Linked DNA regions of Elephas maximus indicus. The protein of the gene in region 1 purifies or fractionates together with the protein of each later gene. This does not show direct contact. Links are inferred from orthologs where the notes say so. Each region holds a gene or a part of one and is shown on either strand. Other genes may lie near its edges.

What was found.
Region 2: the proteins of MPHOSPH6 (region 1) and EXOSC6 purify together in Homo sapiens (affinity purification with mass spectrometry; 3 studies listed by BioGRID and IntAct, with this or other methods). This does not show direct contact. The link is inferred for Elephas maximus indicus from reciprocal best matches to the Homo sapiens genes MPHOSPH6 and EXOSC6.

What each region holds. Positions count from the first base shown.
Region 1 is NC_064839.1:48,078,766-48,086,103, reverse strand, and holds the start of MPHOSPH6 (M-phase phosphoprotein 6), read left to right. Parts: upstream 1-4,253; 5' UTR 4,254-4,276; coding exon 4,277-4,327; intron 4,328-4,411; exon of another isoform or gene 4,412-4,658; intron 4,659-4,966; exon of another isoform or gene 4,967-5,037; coding exon of another isoform or gene 5,038-5,046; intron 5,047-7,338. UniProt on the Homo sapiens protein: RNA-binding protein that associates with the RNA exosome complex. Involved in the 3'-processing of the 7S pre-RNA to the mature 5.8S rRNA and play a role in recruiting the RNA exosome complex to pre-rRNA; this function may include C1D.
Region 2 is NC_064839.1:40,209,172-40,215,993, forward strand, and holds EXOSC6 (exosome complex component MTR3), read left to right. Parts: upstream 1-4,211; 5' UTR 4,212-4,240; coding exon 4,241-5,059; 3' UTR 5,060-6,263; downstream 6,264-6,822. Other genes in the region: AARS1 (alanine--tRNA ligase, cytoplasmic), read left to right, coding at 255-368, 1,205-1,324, 1,456-1,542, 1,935-2,048, 2,501-2,686. UniProt on the Homo sapiens protein: Non-catalytic component of the RNA exosome complex which has 3'->5' exoribonuclease activity and participates in a multitude of cellular RNA processing and degradation events.

The DNA.
Region 1 (7,338 bases):
AACAGCATCCAATTTCTCTTTAAGGAACTACCTCTCCCCGACAGTGTGCAGTCTTGCCAGTACTGTCAATCAGATCTTGCCCTCCCTCAGCTAAGACTCCACTTTCTCCTGGACTTTGAAAATTTAAGTATCCTAAGAGCAAAGAGTCCTTGGGTGGTACAAACAGTTAATATGCTAAGCTGCTAAGTGAAAGGCTGGTGTCCACCCAGAGGCACCTTGGAAGAAGGGCCAGAGATCTACGTCTGAAAAATCAGCCATTGAAAGTTCTGCGGAGCACAGTTCTACTCTGACACACATAGAGTTGCCATGGGTCAGAGCTGACTTGATGGCAACTGGTTAAGGTTACCAGTTACCATCGAGTCCGTTCCAAATCATGGCGGCCCCATGTAGATTTCCAGGCCTTTCTTCTGAGGTACCTCTAGGTGGGCTTGAACCTCCAAGCTTTCAACTTGGCCTTGTACTCAGGCCTTCTCATCAATCCATGAGTGACTTGGTTTTTATTTATTCTTCTAATAAATTCTTTTTTTTTTTTTAATTTATTTAATAAGCCATTGTTGGTTTCTAGTACTTGAGAGGAAAACAAGTAATACCTAATATACCACCTTCATGATCTCCTTGCATAAGAGTTCTCCCCATCCCAGACTCCTTTCCTACTCTACTTTCCACACTGGGAAGACATGTATAAGCACTATAGTCTTTAAATCAATGCTGTCAAAAAAGAAAAAAAAAGTGCAAGCCCCACATATAATTTTAAATTTTCTAGCAGCCTCATTAAAAATAAGTAAAAGAAACAGGTGAAATTCATTCTAATACTGTTTTATTTAAACCAATATATCTACTGCTATTCAACATATAATTGATATGAAAAAATATTAATGAGTTGACATTTTATTTTTCATTTTGTCTTTCAAATCTGGTATTTTACACTTTACACAAACAAAAACCCACTGTCTTCCAGTCAATTCCGACTCATAGTGACACTATACAGTACATCTCAGTTTGGACGCCAAATTTTCAAAGGTTAAAGTGAAAGAAAGTCCTTCCAAAACAATAAAGTTGTGTATAACAAAAAATATTTTATACTGTTTTTAAAAATATAAATTAACAAAAATTAAAAATTGAGTTCCTCAGTCCCATTTCAAGTGCTCAATATCCACACTTGGCTAGTGGCTACTGCACTGGGCAGCATAGGTTTAAATATGATCTGCTCCAAGGGTGAAGAGACTTGGGAAAACCTTTCCTTAATGGATTCGATAGATGGCAGGTATTGTTGGCTTTCACACTTCCAACAACTTCCATTATTAAAGGACTCAGAATTGTGTGAAGACCTATTAGAAATATTCTTTCCACCGAAACGATGTTTCCTCGGCTGTATAACTAATGCAGGTTAACACATTATTGAGTGTGAGACCTATCCTTTCTGTTCTACAATTCAGTAACAAAGAGAGATCAAGGAGTTATCTTCTCTGTCAGGGAATTTAAAGGCTATTACACTATTACTCTTAAGTCACTTCTTGTTTACTACATTTTGATGAGCGAAAAGAGACTTTGGGGCTTAGTTTTTAACATAAGCATTTTCACTGCCAAATAAAATGTATAAATTTGAATGGCAGGTTGAAGAGTTTGACCTCTATCCCCCAGGCAAAAATGAGCTATTATAAGTTCTGGAGCAGGTGAGTGATATGATAAAATCAATGTTTCAGAAAAATCAATCAGAATCCAATATGCAGGTAGACTGGTAACAACAGAGGTCCATAAGAGGGGTGTGGAGCTTCTGGCATCCTTCAAAGGTTCACACATGTTCTTCTGTTGGGAACACCATTTTCCTCTTTAGAAGCTGACAAGACATATGCTCATCCTTCAAGAACAAGTTCAGAGTCACCTTAGTTTCTTGGAGGCAGACTGCAGACTGAGTCACTTCTTCACTTCTGCTCCCATAGCACTTCTTTCAAAATCCTGAACAGAACCCACAAGGCCCTGCCTGATTCAACCTCAGCCTTTCTCTCTAGTCCCATGTCCTGTGGAGTTCCCTTTCTGTCTCTCCATCTCTCCACTCCAGACACTCTTCTCTATTCCATGGGCTGAATAAGTACCTCCTGGCCTCAGGGCAGGAGTCCCTGGGTGGCACAAACTATTAAGCAAGCTGTAGCCTGAAGGTTGGCCATTCAAATCCACAGAGGTGCCTCAGAAGACAGGCCCCGTGATCTGCTTCCAAAAGGTCACAGCCTTGAAAACCCTATGAGGCACAGTTCCACTCTGCAACATATAGGGTTGCCAACTCAAAGAAAGGCAACTGGTTGAATTCTGGTTTGTCCTCAGGGCCTTCTTATACACAATTATCTAGGATTGAAAGGTCTTTTCCCAGGCTAATTTCTCTCCTTTCAGATCTCAGCTTAAATACCACACCTTTAGGGGAGTCCTTCCCTTTCCCAGGCCAGAATGATTAGCTGCCCTTGCTATACCCTCACTGTACTCCAGACTTTTCTTATAAGGCTCTTATCACAACTGTAATCTACAGCTGTTGCTCCCACTAGATAAACTCCATGACAACAGGAACTGTCTTGTTCTCATTTCAGGGCCATTGCAGTTGCTAGTCGATCCTTTTAGAACACTCTATCTCCAACTCTTCATACATTAGGGTTTTTTTTTTTCCTCTCAACTGTCAAGCCTTAGCACTATCGTTTGACAAGGACCATCCCAGATCAGCTCATCTAAAGTAACCCTAAAAGTCACTCAATCATAGCACCCTATTCCATTGTACTCACCACTTATTTATGTCCAGAATGTCAGCTCCAGGAAAGACAGGTCATGTGCTTTTACTCACTATTGTACCTCACACATTAGCACGATGTCTGACACACAGTTATGAATGAATGTGGTTCGGTATCCACTTACCAAATCAGATTGCATTTATTTACTCCACTGAGGTAACCTGCAAGTCAGAGCCGTATTTTTATCAGCAACATTCAAAAAACTATTTAAATCTCAGCTCTAACACTTTATTAGCTGTGTGGCCTTGGGCAAGTCCCTTCACCTCTCTGGGTCTCAGGTTCCCTAACTATATCATGATGATAACAATATCTTCTTCAGAGTTCTTATTAGGATCCAATTAAAAAAAAAAAAAATTACACACGAGGTACCCAGCACAAGAGTATGGTATATAATGCACGTCGCTATGAGTCGGAATCGACTCGACGGCACTGGGTTTTTGTGGGTATTTGCTGAAATGCTATTAGGTTGGGTGATGTTTTCCAAAGTGTGGGACCTGCCAACAGTGTGAAAGATGCCTTTAGGTGGTACAAACAGCATAAATTAAGAGCATTATAACTGTTGTTAGGTGCCGAGTCGATTGTGACTCCTAGCTGCCCGATAGGGGTTCCTAGGCTGTACTCTTTACTGAAGCAGTTTGCCAGGCCTTTCTTCCACAGAGCAGCTGGGTGGGTTAGAATCTTAACACTTTGGTTAGCAAAGGTCAGCAGCCAAGAGCTTAACCTTTGCACTACTGGGCTCCTTCGCATTATAACTTTCCCTTTTCAACGTTCTTACAATTCTTTAGATGAAAACCAGGTCTTCTTGTGCTCCTGAGTCTAACATCTGTCATCTTCCCCATCTGTTGCTATCGCTCTTTAGCAAAGAGATCGTTTAGGGAGAACAACAGTTAATAAAGGAACCTAACATTGTTTTTCATCTTATTTGTTTGCATAGTGGTTAAGAGCCATTCTGGAGTCAGACTGCCTGGGTTTACACCCACCTCCCTCACTCAGTTACTTCAGACTACTTAATGAACCTCCTGACACCTCAGTTTACCCAACTGCAACAAGGGAATGATATCCACCTCACAGGGTTAGTTTAAACGTAAAATGAACTATTAGATGGAAAGTGGTCCAGAACACAGTAAGCCTAAGACCCCTGTTAAATAACAACGGTCCAGGACGTGGGGCAGGGAGGGGTCCCTGAGGCGGGCAGCCCTGAGACCCTGAGGAACGCACCCTTCACTCGCGTGTGGGGACCTCAGCTGCGGGCCAGGCTCTCTCTCGCGCTCGTCTGATTTCGTGCTCTTTGGGGTCTCCCCATGGCATTTAAGCTGCTCTCACCCTAGCGTCGGCGGGCAGCACGACGCTCCTTCAGCAGATGACCGTCCCACAAGGGACTGACGAAGACCCAGATTGCGCTGGAACTCGAGGGACGGGGCGGAGCCATGGGGGGGGGAACGCCGCGTTACGTAAGACGCCGCCACGCACGCAGCGCACGGAGCACGGCGCTGGGCTGGGGCAGCATGGCGGCCGAACACAAGACCAAGTTGTCCAAGAACCTGCTGCGCATGAAGGTGCGGGGACTTGGGGCGGGCTGGGGTAGGGGCACCTGGTCCTCCGGGCCTGGCCGGGGCCGAGGCGGTGTGCGTACGGGAGGTGCCGGCAAGGCCTTGGGGGACCCCCAGCTTTCGCGTTCATTCATTCACTTAGCACCAGCTCTGCGTTAGGCGCCGGGAATCAGATTGTGAATGAGGCCGACTCTTGAAACCCGCTGTCGGATACGGGAGACAGACGCTTAAACAAGGAGAATACAGCGTGCTAAGCGTAGGACGGTGGAAGTGTCCGAAGCCGGGGGAACTTACTTGGAATTCTCGCGGAAAGTGGCCCTTCAGTAGAGACTGAAGGGTAAGCAGAAGGTGGTGAGCATAGACCTGAGCTGAGGGAGAGGCGTGAAGGAGTGTTAGAAATCTGAGAGGCACGAAAAATAATCTTTTTCCTCCCTAGAAACCAAAGATAAATCAGTGATACAGCTGGAGGGAAAGTACCGAGCAGTGAGGCTGGGGGTGAAGGCAGCGTTAATAGCCATGGCACTTTAGTTGAGGTTAAGGATTTTTTTTTTTTTGCCTTAAGAGCAGTGGAAAGCTATTGAGCGCAGGGAACAGTATCATTGGCTGTGCTTTTTACTTTTAAAGGTTACTTTAACTGCCCTGTAGGGAATGCATTGGTGGAAGGAAGGCCTGACAGAAGACACAGTTGCAGTCTGGAAGACGAGTTAAAAGTTCTGATGGTCCAGGTGAGGGTTGATGGTTACCAGAATGAGTGCAGTGGTGGTGGGAATGGAAAGAATGTTAATAGTTGAGGTGAAAGTGAGTTATGTCACCCAGCTTTAAGCAAAATTGATTTTTAGAGTTGAGATTGAAGTCATCTTAACCCAAGAATTTCAAAATGGAAAAAATAACAAGGGTAGATAAAATGTGTACAGAAATCGAGATGGGCAAACAAAGAAGACTTAAAACATAAATAATAATAACGAGCATTTTTAGTCCTTACTATGTCCCAGGCAGTATCCTGAGTGCTTTTCGTATATTAACCCATTTAATCCTGACCATAACCCACTGAGGTGGTACAGTTGTCATTATTCCTCTTTTACAACTGAGGCAAATAAAACAGAGAAGTAAGTAACTTGTCTAAATTTGCATCGCTAGTAAGTAGTGTACACAGGACACAAACTCAGGCAGTCTGCCTCCAGAACCCGTTTAAATCACTATACTTCTTGTCACTGAACACTCATTATTGTTAGATGGGTACCTGGCTGTCTCAAATGGTTAAGTATTCAGCTACTAACTGGAAGGTTGGCAGTTCGAACCCACCCAGAGGCACTTGAGAAGACAAGCCTGGAGATCTGCTTTCAAAAGGTCACAGTCTTGAAAACCCTATGGAGCAGTTTCTACTCTGCACACATGGGGTCACCACGAGTTGGAATTGGCTCAGTGGGAACTAACAGCAACAAGATTTTGGAGAAGTTGAATGTGTTGAGAGCAGAAATTTGAAAACATTTTAGAAGTTGTTTTGGCTCTTAGAATAGGCCGGATGAATATGTACTAGGTGTTTAGGGCTCAGATCAGAGATATGACTGTGGAGTTAGGAAGGAAGAAATTAATTTTAAGAAAAAATTATCCACTCCCACCCAAATGGCTGGGATTGGAGACTTAATTGAACATTGAAAGCAAAGGAAAAGGGAGAAAGTTACCCAGGTTTTTCAATTTGGGTTAGCAATTTTGATTGTTGACAAGAAGGAACTTACCCACGGGATTGCAAGAGAAACTTTACGTAGAGTGTCCTGTGAAAATAAGTGGAGCAGCTACAGACTCAGGATCCAAAGTTCAGCCAAAGCTAAGTATGGAGCATAGATGAGAGGATTGAAGAGTTAATCCTGACTCATTTGTTGTTAGATGTACTTGAACTCCTCTGATTTGGTCAGCATTTGGGGACTGGAGGTGTAAAAGTGGAGTGGGGCGTCATACCTCCTCATCTAACTTCACAAGGGGGGAGGAGAGTCATCAGCATTAATAGCCCAAGGCTGATTGCTATGAGCTGGAGGTCAGATATACCACCCTTCAACCTTTTTACCAATTCTGACACCAGCCATCCCTCCCGCAATACTCTGTGCTTTTTTGCTGGGTTTGATAATTCATTGCAATGGCCACACACAGCTCACAGACCATATTCACAGTTATGGGGTTCATTAGGGAAGTAACAGGTTACAAATCAGGATCAGGAACAACTCAGGATACAGTTCTTTGGTCAGGACAGCTTTTCAGCTGTGCCCACAGGACGGCCTCTCCCTCAGCCCCTGGGCCTCTCCTCTGCCCTTCTCCAACAAGCTCTGCTGATAGGTTCCCAGAGGCACCCCACTCCGCCAGAAAATCTTCTGCCTGAAGGCATTCATCTCTCACTCCATAGGTTGGTGAACCTAGCTTCTCTGACCCCACTCCGCCAGGTAACCTCCTGCCAGAAGGCACTCAGCCTTCTCACTCCATGGGTCAGGACACCCACTGTAGCTGCCTTATTCTGTGGGCTTCAGCCGACCGCTCCGTCTCCTGGGTCTTCTGCCGCCATTTCTCTGCAACAGCTTCTCACCATGTCACGCTGTCTCTGGTGGAACAGCTCTCTTTCTCTCTCTCTTGCTTTCTCTCTCCTGGGTATAGGACAGTATCAGTGCAGAGACCCCAGGTCCAAAGGACATGCTCCCAGCTCTTCTTCTTGGTGTTAGTGATATTCCCTCTCTGTTCTGGGATTGGCTCTCTTATAAGCCTAGCGTGATTCCAAAACTGACCAATCCCTTTGTTACATCTTATTTGTATGGTCCTGAGAGCTCAGCTGCTAACCTAAAGGTTGGCAGCTCAAATCTACCAGCCACTTGTTGGAAACCCTATGGGGTAGTTTTACTCTGTCCTGTAGGGTCACTATGAGTTGGAACCAACTCAACAGCGCCTAACAACAACTCCCACAATGGTGCCATGCACCTTATTTGCATAGTCCCACCCAATCATTTGATGGTCATTATAAGACCATGCGTGGCTAA
Region 2 (6,822 bases), about 7.9 Mb from region 1:
TCACAAGGTCTTGGTCATCCCCGAGCCTGAGTTAGGGTGCAGCTTTCCTGCTGGCCAGGTATGTGAGGAAGGTGCTTCTTTCTGGGGCATCAGGCTGCAGGCACTTGCTCCCTGAAGGAAGAGAAACTTCTGGTGTCCTGGGGTGTGTTGCTTCATAGCCTACCATCGGGGCTTGCCACAGTTGTTTACCGATCAAATGGTGAAGCAGAAAGTTACCTGCCCCAGATTTTGAAATTCTGATTTCTCTCTCCCAGGCCCTCAGGAAAGCAGAGAGCTTGAAGAAATCTCTGTCTGTCATGGAGGCCAAAGTGAAGGCCCAGACCGCGCCAAACAAGGATGTGCAGCGGGAAATAGCTGACCTTGGTGAGGTACAGACAGCCTCCATCCCTTCCTCCCAGGGCCTGATTTATTCATCAGGTACAGGACACTGCTCAGTGCTGGGTCCTGTGCCTGATGAATAAAACATTATCCCTAGTCTTTTTTTTTTTTTTTTTTTTATTGTGCTTTAAGTGAAAGTTTATAAACCAAGTCACTCTCTCATACGAAAACTTATATATATACCTTACGATATACTCCTAGTTGCTCTCTCTCTAATGAGACAGCATATTCCTTCCCTCCACTCTCTTATTTTCATTTCCATTCAGCCAGCTTCTCCCCTCACTATGCCTATTCTTGAAGAACTCACTGGAACTAGCCAGGTCGTGGTTCTCAGTGGAATGGGGCCTCAGGCTGACGTCTGCTGATGTCTCCATGGATCCTGGCCTGTGGACCCCTGGTTCCTGCCTGCTGCTTCCATTGCTGATGGCAGGAGAGCTCATTCCAAGCATTGTGTCAAGGGAGTTGGGGAAGGCCTCTGTATCCAAGCCTGCCTGGTGTTTTATATTAATATCTGGTGGCTCCCCCGAGCCTGTCACAGGCTCTGTGTTCATGGCCTGGTGAAGGCCAGGTCTCACAGGGATCCTAGTCTCCATACTGTTCCTCTCTCTCCAGCCCTACTTGTTACAACTGCTATGGTTGCTCACATACTGACTGTTCTTGAGGCCAGTAGGCACTTGTTTTTTGTTGTGTTTTCTTCCTTCTCTCTGCTTCATGGACACTCAACGGGGAGGACTTTGTATTCAAAACAGATGTGATAGGGTGGGGCTGAGGCCTCACTTCCTAGCTCCCAGTCTGCATCCACATGGTCTTCCTGTTGTGGTTCCAGGCCCTAGCCACTGCTGTCATCCCTCAGTGGCAGAAGGATGAACTTCGAGAGCACCTTAAATCCCTGAAGAAGATAATGGATGACCTTGACCGTGCTAGCAAAGCCGATGTCCAGAAGCGAGTGAGTCCTGGCAGTGCTGGTGGCCAGAAGGGAGCAGAGAGGATTTACTCAGCAAAGGCTGGGAGAGCTGCTTTCTGGGTTTGGGAGGCTGGGTCTTTGATCTGAAGTTTTCCTGGACTTCTTCCTTTCAGGTGTTGGAGAAGACCAAGCAGCTCATCGACAGCCACCCCAACCAGCCCCTCGTTATCCTGGAGATGGAGAGCGGTGCCTCAGCCAAGGCAACCAGGGGCCCAGGGTCTAGTGCAGCTCTGTGTCTGTCCCATTGCTTGTTCCCTTCTCTGGCCTCAGCCCTCTGGTGGCTGAAGTATGGGAGGTGTGGCTTTGAGAGCCCACTGTCTCAATGAAGGTTAGCCTGAGCTATGAGAGCTGGTGGCTGAGCTGTGGCTCCCAGCAGAAAAAAGGAGCAGCTTCCCGGAAGGCAAACCTCAGGACTAGAGGCCATGGAGGCCAGGCCCTGTACCAGGCTCCTCCTACAGCTTCCCGGGGCCACGCCTACTCTTGGAACGTGGGTGGGGGCGGTGCTCCGAGGCCTGAGACCGCAAACCTGTCACATGTGAGGAAAGTTGCCTAGACCCCAGTGCCATGATCTGACACCAGATTTTCCCCACAGGCCCTGAATGAAGCTTTGAAACTTTTCAAGACACATTCCCCTCAGACGGCCGCCATGCTCTTCACTGTGGACAATGAGGCTGGCAAGATCACATGCCTGTGTCAGGTGCCTCAGGTAGGAACCCCCTGTGCTTGCTCCAGACCCCACAAGCTGCTGTCACTGTGGGAAGTGTTGTCTCCAGCTTTGTAGAGGGAAGTCAGTTCTCACAGTTGGATGCCAAGGCCCACGGAAGTTTGTGCAGTGTCCATTAGGAACAGCTGTTCTCCTACCCTCCTCTTTGGTCACTTTTGCCAGTACCCCTTACCCTCAGGCCTTCTCTTTGGTAAAAAATAATAAGTTTCATTGTACTGGCCAATACTTAGCTTTGACTTTGAGGTGCCCTTATCCTGGCAGGGACCATCGACTGCCCCCGTGCACTTGCTCTAGAATCTGTCTCTGCCTCTGGCAGCAGCCCGTGTCCTCACACAGGACAGGAATGGTCCCTCGTCGTTTCTCCTTCCCGCCCCTTTTCATTCCCCCCTCAATCCCATCCTGTCTTACTCCCACTTTTCCTTCCTGTCTTCCAGAATGCTGCCAACCGGGGCCTGAAAGCCAGTGAGTGGGTGCAGCAGGTGTCAGGCCTGATGGATGGCAAAGGTGGTGGCAAAGATGTGTCTGCCCAGGCCACGGGCAAGAATGTGGGCTGCCTGCAGGAGGCACTGCAGCTGGCCACATCCTTTGCCCAGCTTCACCTGGGAGATGTGAAGAACTGAGGGGAAGGGTGGCTTCCACTGGGAAGCATCTGCTCCTTACCAGGAAGTGACTGCCCCTCACCAGGATGCATCAGTCCAGATGGGAGCTCTTCATCCGCCACAGGGACATTCAAATCCTGGACCTTTAAGCAGCCCCATCTGTCCTCGTAGCCCAGCAATCATTGGAACATAGTCAGGGCACTGTCCTTCCCTGTGGCTCCGTGCCCACTTTACATTTCCACCCCAAGCCCTATAGTCAGTGCCATCCGTCCAGAACCATTACCCCAGAATTGCTATTTATCATTGTCCTGCACCTGTCTATACTTCTGAGGTATATTCCTCCACAGACCTGAGGCTTTTGGGTGTGCAGGTAGGAATTACTTTTGCTGCAAAGAATAAAAGGACCATGTGCAATACTTGATGATACCTTGTGATCGATCCCCCGCTTCCCACCCAGGTGTCCCATGATTCACAGCCCGTGGCTCCCTGGGTGTCTGCAGCATAAATGCAGTGGCTGCAGCTGGCTTCTGGCTGAAAGGACCAGTCCTCCTCAAGTCCAACCCCAGGCCCCCTGAATTGTGCGAATGGCTCCTGGGATTGCCTCAAGAGATCTATGGAGGTGGAGGCAGGCAGAATAGGTGGGTGAGATGGAGAGGCAGCTGTTGGGAGTGTGAGATGAAGTGTGAGGTTAGAGGCATGCTCCAGTATAGGAGGTATTTAGGGTGCAGCCATTGCCTCCTCCTCCAGTGGCTGCCCCGCCATTCCTACTTCCTTGACCTAAAGATGGTTAGAATACCCTACCCTGGCCCTGAGCCCAGTTCACCCAATTGAAGACAGCTAGGTTTGACAGTAGTGTGAGGGGAGGTAAAAGGTACTGCTTGCTGCGGCAGCTGTGACTGATTCGATGCCCTTGGGTACAGCATGCTGGCTCTGTGGCCCGTGCTGGCAGAGGGGAGGAAGTAGGGAAAGCAGGTCTATGCTAGGAGAAGCAGCAGAGGCCAGCTGTCAGGCTGTCAGGCCTGGGGCTGAGGGGCTGTCCTTGCTTGGGTGAGAGAAGCAGCCAGAGGGAGGGTGCTGAGGCCCTGGATATAACCAGCACAGCCAGGTGAAGAGTTAGGGATACAAAGACAATTACACAGTCCAGGGATGAGGGGACACGTAATACCATTCATTCATTCTACAGAGTGTTTACACCAGCCGGGCATGGAGTGTACACGAGTCAACAGAAAAAAGGCCCCTGCCCTCCGAAAGCAGTAGGGAACACAGGCATGAAAAAGTTAGGAAAATAGCTGCAACGGGTTTGGTTGTTTTGTTTTTTTGTCACAAGTGAAAGGAAAATACGATCTGGGTTTGCCCTGGCTTGGCAGGTTGGGGTCATCCCAGCCGGCCCACGTCCCGCTTGCTGCGGACCAGGGCTCTGTAGGGCCCGCAGTTCTCCCTCCGGGGCGGCAGGGGGCGGTGCAGCCCCACCGCTATCCCGACAGACCCCGCGCGGGCGCGCATCTTAAGCGGGCGGAAGCGTCCCCGCGTGAGCAGAATCGACGGGCGGAAGCGACTCGCTCGTCTGGTGCAGCCATGCCGGGGGACCACCGCCGCATCCGCGGGCCCGAGGAGTCGCAGCCACCGCAGCTGTACGCGGCCGACGAGGACGAGGCGCCTGCTGCCCGCGATCCGACGCGTTTGCGGCCCGTGTACGCGCGCGCGGGGCTGCTGAGCCAGGCTAAGGGCTCGGCCTACCTGGAGGCGGGCGGCACCAAGGTGCTGTGCTCCGTGTCGGGCCCCCGTCAGGCCGAGAGTAGCGAGCGCGGCGGCGGTCCAGCCGGGGCGGGCGGCGAAGCCCCGGCCGCACTGCGCGGGCGCCTGCTCTGCGACTTCCGCCGCGCGCCCTTCGCGGGCCGCCGGCGCCGCGCACCTCCCGGGGGCGGCGAGGAGCGCGAACTGGCGCTGGCGCTGCAAGAGGCGCTTGAGCCAGCCGTGCGCCTGGGCCGCTACCCGCGCGCGCAGCTCGAGGTGTCGGCGCTGCTGCTCGAGGACGGTGGCTCGGCGCTGGCTGCCGCGCTCACGGCCGCCGCGCTCGCGCTGGCCGACGCCGGCGTCGAGATGTACGACCTGGTGGTGGGTTGTGCCCTGAGCCGCGCTCCGGGCCCCGCGCCCGCCTGGCTCCTGGACCCCACGCGGCTCGAGGAGGAGCGTGCCGCCGCCGGCCTCACTGTGGCTCTCATGCCGGTGCTCAACCAGGTGGCCGGGCTGCTGGGCAGCGGGGAGGGCTGTCCAACTGAGAGCTGGGCCGAGGCTGTGCGCCTGGGCCTCGAGGGCTGCCAGCGCCTCTACCCCGTGCTGCAGCAGTGCCTGGTGCGGGCCGCCCGCCGGAGGGACGCAGCCACCTTGTCCTGAGCCAGAAGGCTGAGCAAAGACGACTCCGAAGACCGCCGCCATCCCGGAAAGGACCCTTGCCTCCGGTCTCCACATTGCGCCCAGCTGGGAAATGGAGATGATCAGAGAGAAGGGGAGTGGGGCACAGTTTGGCAACAGCCGCCTCCTCGCCACACAGAACTGATGCCCTAGACAGCTGTTTCAAAAAACCTGTCCAGAAGAGAAACTTTTCTGCTTGAGCTGGCTCCCAGGTCCAGCCCAGTTGAAGAAACCTGTGAATTCAGCCTGACTCCAAATTGGAAAGGACTTGAGCTGGATTGATCTGTAAAACGAGACCTAGAGCTGTTATCTTGTAAGGATGGACTCTCTATAATTGGGCTGCTTTTGAAAGGATGGACATATGAACTAAAAACAAAAACTTTTTATATCTGAGCAACGTTTTCTGTTGTGGCTCTTCTTGGTATAGGATTTAAAAGAGCAAGGATCTTCTGAGGTGGGTAGTGTCTTGGACCCCTGGTGCCAAGGGCTCTGGGGATCACTGCCTTAGATGTGTCCTTTGTTAGACCAACATGAGAAGAGACAGGGTGAAATATGTGAAGGAGTTGATGTGAAAAAATCTGCTTTTGAGGAGGGGAAGCTGTCTCCCCACCCTCAAGTACCAGAGTCAGGGCAGCTGCTGAGATGAAACAGGAGTCAGGGGAGCTGTGTGGTCCCAGAAGCATTCTAGGTGCACCCCCTATTCCCTGATTGATTTTTGTGAACTGGGCATAGCGACAGCTCAGGGTGAGGTAGCTGGAAAGGGTGGAGGCCAGAGCCCTCCTTCCACAGCCTCTCCTGCTAATGGGCCCCGAGCTAGCTTCATGATCTGCTGCCTGTTGTCTAGGCTTGGGAGAGAGCAGGTGAACTGCCAGGAATAAGCCTCTGGATCCTGGGAAACAGGACAGTGCTTGGTTGTTCCGCTGGCTGACTGTGAAGGTACGGTCTTCTGCCCTGTGTGGCACCTGAGCCCTGTGGGTTCATGCTCAGTTCTGGATTGGAGGAAGCCTGGTGAGACAGCCCTTCAGAACCACAGCAGCCTGGTCCTCTTTCTGCACCTGGCTTGCTGTGAGCCTCCAAACTTGTGTCTCAAGGGCCTGCTCTGCTTATCTAGGAAGGGCTGGCCCTGGGGGAGCCCAAGACCCAGAATGAGGCACTGGGACCACATCAGGAACTCCTGACCAGAAAAAATATTTTATTTTTCCCCTTCTGACATAATACATTTTTCCAGAGCAGATCTGAAATACATAGTATCACACCAGCGAGAAACAGGACATAAAAATACACTTGATTCTGAAGGATGGCTATGTAGAGGGGATGGGGAGTCTGGAACCAAAGGGGTTATGTGAGGAACTCCCCAGGATATACAGTTGCTTCAGACTGGGAGGGGGCCTGTAGGAACACAGTTCTGTTTCCTGTGCTCCACTGTGGCTGGAGAAGGTGGCCTGGGCCGGCTGCTGGGCAGCAGGAGGGGAAAAGAGCAGCTGAAGCCGTATCTGTATTCAGAGGGGGCTGATGATGCTCCCTGGGCTCTCAGGGGACCCTGTCCCTCTGTCCCTTTCGAGTTGGCCTTGGCTTCTTGAGGATGGGGACTGGTGCTGGGAGTCCAGGCCACCTCCCCCTCCAGCCCTGCTAGTCCCAGGACTACCTGGACACAGGACATCCACCATTATTGGGACGCTGGTTTGGGCAAGCTGTGCCTCCACTTCTGTTGCCCTAGCTCCAGAACAGGTGCCACCGGAAGGCCT